Linked DNA regions of Daphnia pulex. The protein of the gene in region 1 binds, or shares a complex with, the protein of each later gene. Links are inferred from orthologs where the notes say so. Each region holds a gene or a part of one and is shown on either strand. Other genes may lie near its edges.

The links. The genes of interacting proteins can lie anywhere in the genome.
Region 2: nuclear pore complex protein Nup85-like (region 1) and PCI domain-containing protein 2-like share a complex: the UniProt entries of both Drosophila melanogaster proteins name them as parts of the nuclear pore complex. The link is inferred for Daphnia pulex from reciprocal best matches to the Drosophila melanogaster genes Nup75 and PCID2.

What each region holds. Positions count from the first base shown.
Region 1 is NC_060023.1:4,665,594-4,669,350, reverse strand, and holds the start of nuclear pore complex protein Nup85-like, read right to left. Parts: upstream 2,172-3,757; 5' UTR 2,030-2,171; coding exon 2,015-2,029; intron 1,953-2,014; coding exon 1,844-1,952; intron 1,787-1,843; coding exon 1,200-1,786; intron 1,130-1,199; coding exon 1,007-1,129; intron 894-1,006; coding exon 675-893; intron 548-674; coding exon 1-547. Other genes in the region: rRNA methyltransferase 2, mitochondrial-like, read left to right, coding at 2,404-2,564, 2,672-2,811, 2,880-2,928, 2,993-3,110, 3,182-3,442; nuclear protein localization protein 4 homolog, read right to left, coding at 3,587-3,757. UniProt on the Drosophila melanogaster protein: Component of the nuclear pore complex (NPC) that seems to be required for NPC assembly and maintenance. Required for nuclear import of phosphorylated Mad via importin msk.
Region 2 is NC_060025.1:7,985,454-7,989,210, reverse strand, and holds PCI domain-containing protein 2-like, read right to left. Parts: upstream 2,160-3,757; 5' UTR 1,986-2,159; coding exon 1,950-1,985; intron 1,875-1,949; coding exon 1,833-1,874; intron 1,755-1,832; coding exon 1,633-1,754; intron 1,571-1,632; coding exon 1,304-1,570; intron 1,239-1,303; coding exon 1,021-1,238; intron 959-1,020; coding exon 858-958; intron 777-857; coding exon 577-776; intron 509-576; coding exon 411-508; intron 347-410; coding exon 231-346; 3' UTR 154-230; downstream 1-153. Other genes in the region: b(0,+)-type amino acid transporter 1-like, read left to right, coding at 3,066-3,111, 3,174-3,310. UniProt on the Drosophila melanogaster protein: Required for the export of nuclear mRNAs and involved in mRNA trafficking in the cytoplasm.

The DNA.
Region 1 (3,757 bases):
GATATTTCCCAAGGAAAGCCAATCGATCGCTGGCAAGAAGTCCAGCACCCAGTGAGTCTAGCAAGTCCGTCGAAGTAAAATCTGAATCTTGAAGGTAACTCTTCAGAACAGCATCGGCGGCATAGGTAGCAAGAGGAGCGTCTTGCGCCTTAACAGCCCAAGCGACTGCCGCACCAAGTCGTCCATTGGCCAAGGCCCGTCGACCCATTACACGACAGACGGAAGTTACCACTGATGTTAGTTTTCTTCGCTCGGCAAGTGAAATTATTTTGGTTGCCTTCATTTCCGACTGGCACGGAAGTCGAGTGAGCAAGTGTTCCAGAGTCGCAGAACCAACATTAGGGCAATGGTCAAGATAGAGAACACCAACCGACCACAAGGATTGGTGGCTAAATAAGCAAATCGAGTAGTCACGAAGCAAAGTTTCTCTCAGCTGTAGTGAGTTAATGTCTTCGAACGACTGAAGTGCTCCGGCGTGATACAATAAATCAGCGAGATGTGCCGTAAACCAAGAATTATCCAATACTCCTTGCATTTCTCCAATCACCTGTGACAACAAATTTGAACAGATATAAAACGTTTCCAGTTAATTATGTTGGTAGTGTCTTGATACTTGCATGAACTCTTATCAAACTTGCTTAAAACTCTTATCCATTGATAACAGCGATACTCACTTTACGCGTGTCGCGACGAAGAACGGCCAAAAGTGTTGCATCTAGTGACGTCAAATCATCTAATCCGATTAAGGAAGCAAAAAACTGTTCGGCTTCATCTCCCAAAGATAACGTTCCAATTGTGGGTTGCGTGAACGTTAACTGAGTAATCATTCGTTGATACCAAGTTTCGAAATGATCGCCAACTTTTTCAAATGCTTCTTCTTTGCCACATAGTATCTTTATCGTAAGTAAATAGAAAGTTTATGTAAGTTAGACAAAAGACATACAACATAAACTAATGAAAATAAAAATGGGAATTAAGAGATCATTATATATAAAACATTATATACCTCCATTAGAAGTTCTAAATCTTTTGATTCGAAGAAATCTCCAGCTTGAGTGCGAGCCTCACATTCTTCTTTCCAATGATTCCATCTGAAGGTAAACTCTGGAGCAGAAACAGTTGAGTTGGCCTAAATAGAACAGAAATACTTAGGAGATAGAAAAATTGTTAATCTATCTAAATTACAAGAACTTTCTTACACTAAAGACTGGCATTTTCTTCAGCAACTCATATGCACTCTGAAAAGCTTCACTCTGGAAATCAGGATGAATTCTTAACAGTTTGGTAGCACTTTCTAAGCGTAACTGAAACACTAGTCCATAGAGAGCTTTCCAATAGCTTTCATGGAGTCCAGGATTTGGTGATGCTAAAACTGTACCAGTTTCTTCTACTGCATTTGGAAAATGAATACGAATCCATTCTAATAGGTGTGGCAGAATTCCAAGTGGGTTCTCAAGATACAGAATTTCACACAAATTCCACACCAACTCAGCTTTGTAAAATATTTCACTCATTTCTTGAAGTGCTTGATTAGATTCAACACTGTTAGCAAGATCTGCTGCTTGGTTCAAATCTTCAATGCATGCATTCATTATACAACGATACTGATGACTGGATTTAATTAACTCAGATGAGCTGATTTGGCCATCTGTGCCAGCCTTAATTTGTAAAGAAGTAAATGCTCCACAGGATTCATTGACCAGCTTGCGAACAAAAGGATTGTACAAGGTTCGCTCCCAAGAAATTGTATAAAGCTTCTTCTTACAAGTCTGGGGACTAACTGGACCTGTCATTGAGAAAAACTTAGTAGGAGTTTTTTGGCTAACTTCCAGAAAGAACTTACCAGAGGTGATCGACTTGGAAAATTCTGTTGGAAATACAGCCAAGCTGTTACCATAACCCCAAGAATGCCCAACATCTTTGTTGTATGCAAATAGAGGATCTTGTATTCCCTAAAACAAAGAAAGTTTGGTTACAAATATGTATACCATGAACAATTCGAAATTATTATTACAATAGGTTCAAGCATTCTGTAAAATGCGTGAAAATCACGTCACAAATCGTAATTGTGTGTAGGATTCAGAAGGATTTCAACTAACAGTCAGAACTCGTAACGAGTACTTTTTTGAAATATTTCTAATCTGTCGTCTGCTGCTTCGGTTTTACACCATACTGCAATGGCCATGGTTACGGCGGTAACTATGACCTGTGCTGCCGAATGTCGATAGCGGAAATTTCAATTTTCGTGGCTGCTTGTTTGTTGACAAAATATCATAGTCTACTTGATCTTATTAGGTGATGTTATATTGCTGTTTCATTAATACTTTCAAGTTGTTTATCGCTTTTCACCTGAAGAATTTATTTGATCCATATTAAAATATCCGTTTCAACAAAGTTTTTGCTATGAACATTGCCGTTTGTTCAGTAAGACAGTTTTGTTCGTCTTCAACATGCTTTAAAAAAGTGCCCGATCGGCTAAAGGGCCGCAGTAAAAGTTCTCAAGAATGGCTAACTCGGCAAATGAATGACGAGTATGTTCTTAAAGCCAAAATGGAAAATTATAGGTAGTAATTTTCAAATAAAAATTATGATTTCAATATTTTCAATTAACAGGCTATAGCTTCAGTTTAATTGTTGTCTAATATTTACTACTTCTTATTAACCAAGAAAGAGCTAGAAGTGCCTTTAAATTGATTGAAATTGATGACAAACACAAATTCCTTAAACCTGGAGATGTGGTTGTAGAATGTGGCGCTGCACCTGGTGCTTGGACACAAGTATGTGTAAAACGAATTAATGCAACAGGAAAAGGTAGATTGAATTGTTTAACTATTTAGCCTAATTAAAATGACACTAGAATGTTTATGGATTTCATGCAGTGTCTTCTCAGCTTAAAGGAAAGCATGTAGCAGTTGATCTTCAACCAATGTAAAAGGGCTGCAAAGTTTTGGTACCCTTAGTTCACTAACATTATTCAATTTTATTCTTTCAGGTACCCAATTGAAGGAGCTGTAATCTTGGCTCCATTAGATTTCACAAAAAGTTTGTCCCAGACCAGAATAACAGAAATACTTGGTGGGCAACTTGCTAATGCAGTCCTAAGTGATATGGTAGGGCTGATTTTATTTCAGTTTTTTTTTACCTTAAATTATTTCAATTAATATTTGCTAATTAAATTTAGGCTCCTGCAGCATCGGGTATACGAGATTTGGATCAAGATAGGATATTAGAATTAGCATATTCAGTGCTGCGTTACGCGCAACAAATCTCTATGGACGGAGCTACGCTATTGATAAAATTATGGGCAGGAGGAAGAATCAAACAACTGGAGAATGAGATTGCATTACACTATTCTCAAGTCAAAGTTGTGAAACCACCTAGTAGTAGACAGGATTCAGCTGAAATGTTTATACTAGCTAGTAATTTCAAGAAAAATACATAGTAATTATTTAACTACTTACTTTGCTTTATTCACATTGAAGTCTACTGAAATTTTGCTTCATCCATGTATTCAATTCACCTTAGTTACATCACTGACTCTAAGCACACTTTTAACAGTTTGATTGGCCGGTGACAATTTTTAAATTTAGTGTGGCAAATTGCAAATCTCACACGAAGATAAATTAGGCATATTGATGAAAGTGCAGTGAAGACAGGTCCAGGATTTGCCAGCGGCATCTCCGGTAGCACCTTCTTCCATCGGTTGCCCTGGTGTCGACATTTGATCAGCGTGAGCCAGGAGCTGACGGACAGTGCT
Region 2 (3,757 bases), on another chromosome or scaffold:
CGTCACAAACAAATTTGAATATTTACCTGAGATTCACTCAGTTTTGGTGTAGAATAGCGTAGTCAGGTGAAACCTAACACAAATATGTAAGACTTTGAAACAAGAAAACAGCTAAAACTATTACTTAATACAAAAATAGGAAGCAAGAAACAATTCGTTCAATAAGAAATTTATTATTTTGTTTCAATTAGTCGCGAAAACAGGTGTGTGTAAGAGATATTAGATCCAACTTATACGATAGCAGCCAGCGATGGGAACGCATTCTGCTTGCTGATTACCAGCTTGTTGTGGCTGTTGGAAATGTACCCTTTGATTTTGTTCTCAAAGATGAGGTTTGCAATGATACCTGCGTTATAAAAAGAAATGGATCAAATTCTATAAAAGCCACATTAATTTATGTAACACTATACATTGCGTCTCGTCCAAGTCTATGTCTTCAACTCCCATGAATTTTAAGGCCTCAAGATAGGCTTCGATCGGGATTTGATGAGTTTTCATGAGCAAAGTTCTGAAAATTATAAATTCAAAAGAAATCATGTCGGCTCATCTTTCAACACCAACAATAAAATCCCTTACACTTTCTTAAACAAGTTTCTGTAGGTGGTGACTTTTAACTTTTCAAGAATCAAATAAACACCGCAGCGAATGAAAAAGGCATCGTGTTGAAGAAGGGCATTGTTGAGTCTCCGGAGATTACCCTCCCTAACAGCTTGCACCACTTCGCTAAACTGTAGAAGGTCATACTTTCTCAGCAATTGGGTTGTAGGAAGATGACCCTTTAAATGAAATGTAATACGTTAAGCATCTTCCTTCCGTTTTCCATCGCATTATGTGTACACAACAAATGAAAGTCATACCAAAAGCATTTTGACGGGAATCAGGTAGATTAAAATCAGTCGTTTGTTGGCGCGGCAGTTCTTGTGACACCGCTCAAACGCGTAGGATAAATATTTCTCAGCTAAATGCGAAATTAAATATAAGAATTGATTATCTTTTAGAAATTTATGTTACTCTGCTCACCGCTTTTGAAATCACTTTCGAAAATGGCCTTTCTGCCGACATAGTATCGGTAAGTCACTTGTTGGCTGAGGGAGAACTGGTCCTTGAACTGGGAGGCATCAATTGCGCGAATAAGAGCCTTACAAAGATGCAATTTGTTTATTCTAAAGTAGATTTTCAACAGCTGGTTGACCAAATACAGCATTCCCCAGCGTTTTGTATCTTCATCAGATGACCGACTGTAAATTCAAACAAAAGAATGAGTACCTAGTTACTACATAAGTCGCAAAATGTTATTTCTTACTTGTCAGCAGCACACACTCTAAAAAGTCCCATGAGGCACTCTGCAGCCTTTTCAAGTGTTTGTCCTGGTTTGTCTGCTCCTTTTTTGGCCAATTCTTTGTCTGCTTTGATTGCAAACATACGCAAATCTAAACTTATGACATACATGATGAATAAAGCCCAGTTGTCTTCCTTCTGTGTCTGAAAGAGCTTTGTAAACGCCTGTACCAAAGCACTTTGCTCAGAGTATGCTTCTAAATACTTTTGCTGGTTGATATAGCTTAAGCATCTAGATGGTAAAATTGAAAGTTGAAACCAAAATTTAAAATTGATGAAAGTTCAACTGTATACCTGAGATGAAGGACAACAATCTCATCAAAAGGAGCTTCCACGATTCTTTCAACAGACTTTTCAAATCCCTCCAAAATAAGTTTGGAGCTCATAACATGTGGGTGATTGAATGACAGGAGTTCCTAAAGGTTTCAAAATAAGAAGACGTGAAGTATTGCATGAGCATGATTTTACAAGAAATTTAATTTTGAATTTCTTACTGAAACTTCAGTTCCACTTCGAGATTGCCATGAAGATTGAATCTAAAATAGTTTAAATAAAAACAATCAACTAAAGATGTGTAAACAATGCATTCTGTTTGTGACGCGCTGTGTTACCTCACGTAAATATTGATTCAAATTCAAGTTAGCCATTTTTTTAGTGTCTTAGAAATGATTTTTCGAGACTAACTTAAAACTGGACATCGGTGGCTTACAGAAATCTAATTTTGGCGAAACACAATTGGATATTATTTGACAGAAAATTTCAATAATCACGCCGACCGGTCGCTTTCGAATTGTTCCTCAGCTCTTCGTCTGCTAGAAACTCTTACGTCATCTAGCGGTAACAAGTTGAATTACATATTTACAATTTCAAATTTTACGCCGCGCTTGTTATCAAAGTTTTTCGATCTCGAAAGGGAGGAAAAACCACAAAGTAAAATAAGAATTATATTATTTTACGACTGAACATGCCGCAACATAAACATAAATAGAATGAGTTGAGAAAGAACTGGTTCCATATCATGCATATCCAACAACTGAGATAATGCATGTGATTTAATCCAACAAAACAATTGACGCAGGACTGTACTGTATAAATGTATAAAACATTGAGTCGGGATTCCAATAACATATAAATTGCACAGAGGAGTTCCAAGTAAAAAAAAAAAAAACAAGGATCAACTACCTCCTGGACAGACTAATTAAAAAGCGTGGCGCCAGTCTAAGATGATTTCATACCTCACTAAGAAGTATGAAGAGAGAGAGTGAACAAACATGTCAAAATGGCTTAAAACTCTTGAGTACATAGATTAGCCGCTCAGCGGGCAGTCCACACACACTGCAGTGTGTGTGTATATAGGCGGGTTTACGCTAAACCCTGTAAAAAAAGATACAGCAGCATCAGCAGCGAATGGTCAATAATAATCAGCTCTACTTTAAGAGTGGACCGAACCACTCGTGTTTCCATTCTCTCCCCCCTCTTTTTCTACTTCCGATCTATTCTTATTTCGGCCTCCCCTGACTACTAGTTTTTCTTTTGTATCATTCGCTTTTAGTCGACAACGAGCCCCAGTGGCCCTATTTTGACAGTCAATTAAATATAGTGCATCACGTGTGCAAATAGTAGGAGGGAAACTTCGTTTCCATACGTTCGCACACGGATTTTCAAAGGTCCAATTTAAATATTTCCCTTCTAGATTTTCGGCTGGATAATTTCCGTATTGCTCCAACATGACTATTCCCGAAAGTGATTCAATTCGACAACGCTCATCTCAAGGTAAATACATTTTCTTTAACACATTTTTCAATGACATGTACATTTTTCTTTGTGACATTCAGACGATACGAATAAAAATCGTACAGAATCTTTATCAAAAGACGATCATGGACATAGTAGTTCGACCAACAGTATTAATGACAGTAGCTTAACCGATGCCGTGTCAAACATTAAAGATGAACTGCAAATGAATCGACGGGTAAGTTTCCTTTGTTCTGTTTTAACAAGTATAATAAAGTTATCTCAGTGGCAAATAATCATAGTACAGCATGCACCCGAGTGGTGACAGACGCATGTAAACAGATAAAAGAAACAACGTTTCGTCTCATTGGTTACATCCAAAAAGACCCTAAAAGATGCTATTTATTATCTAAATATTTATCAAGGCGAGGATAGGCCAAAGATAACGCAACGTTTCTTTCCGTTGTCATAAAATTTCTCCCAACTAATAATTGCCCTGCTGTTTTAAAAAACGACTCTCAAGAGTCTTCAGAGTTTTCAAAATACCCAAATTGGATCTGCATGGGTTTATTAGTAGCTCTACTAGCGGGCGGTCGTCATCTTTGACAGGCGTGTAGTTATTGTACTAGTAGGATGTTAATTCGCCAATGTGTAGAAAAAAATCAAACATGAGTGACGATTAACC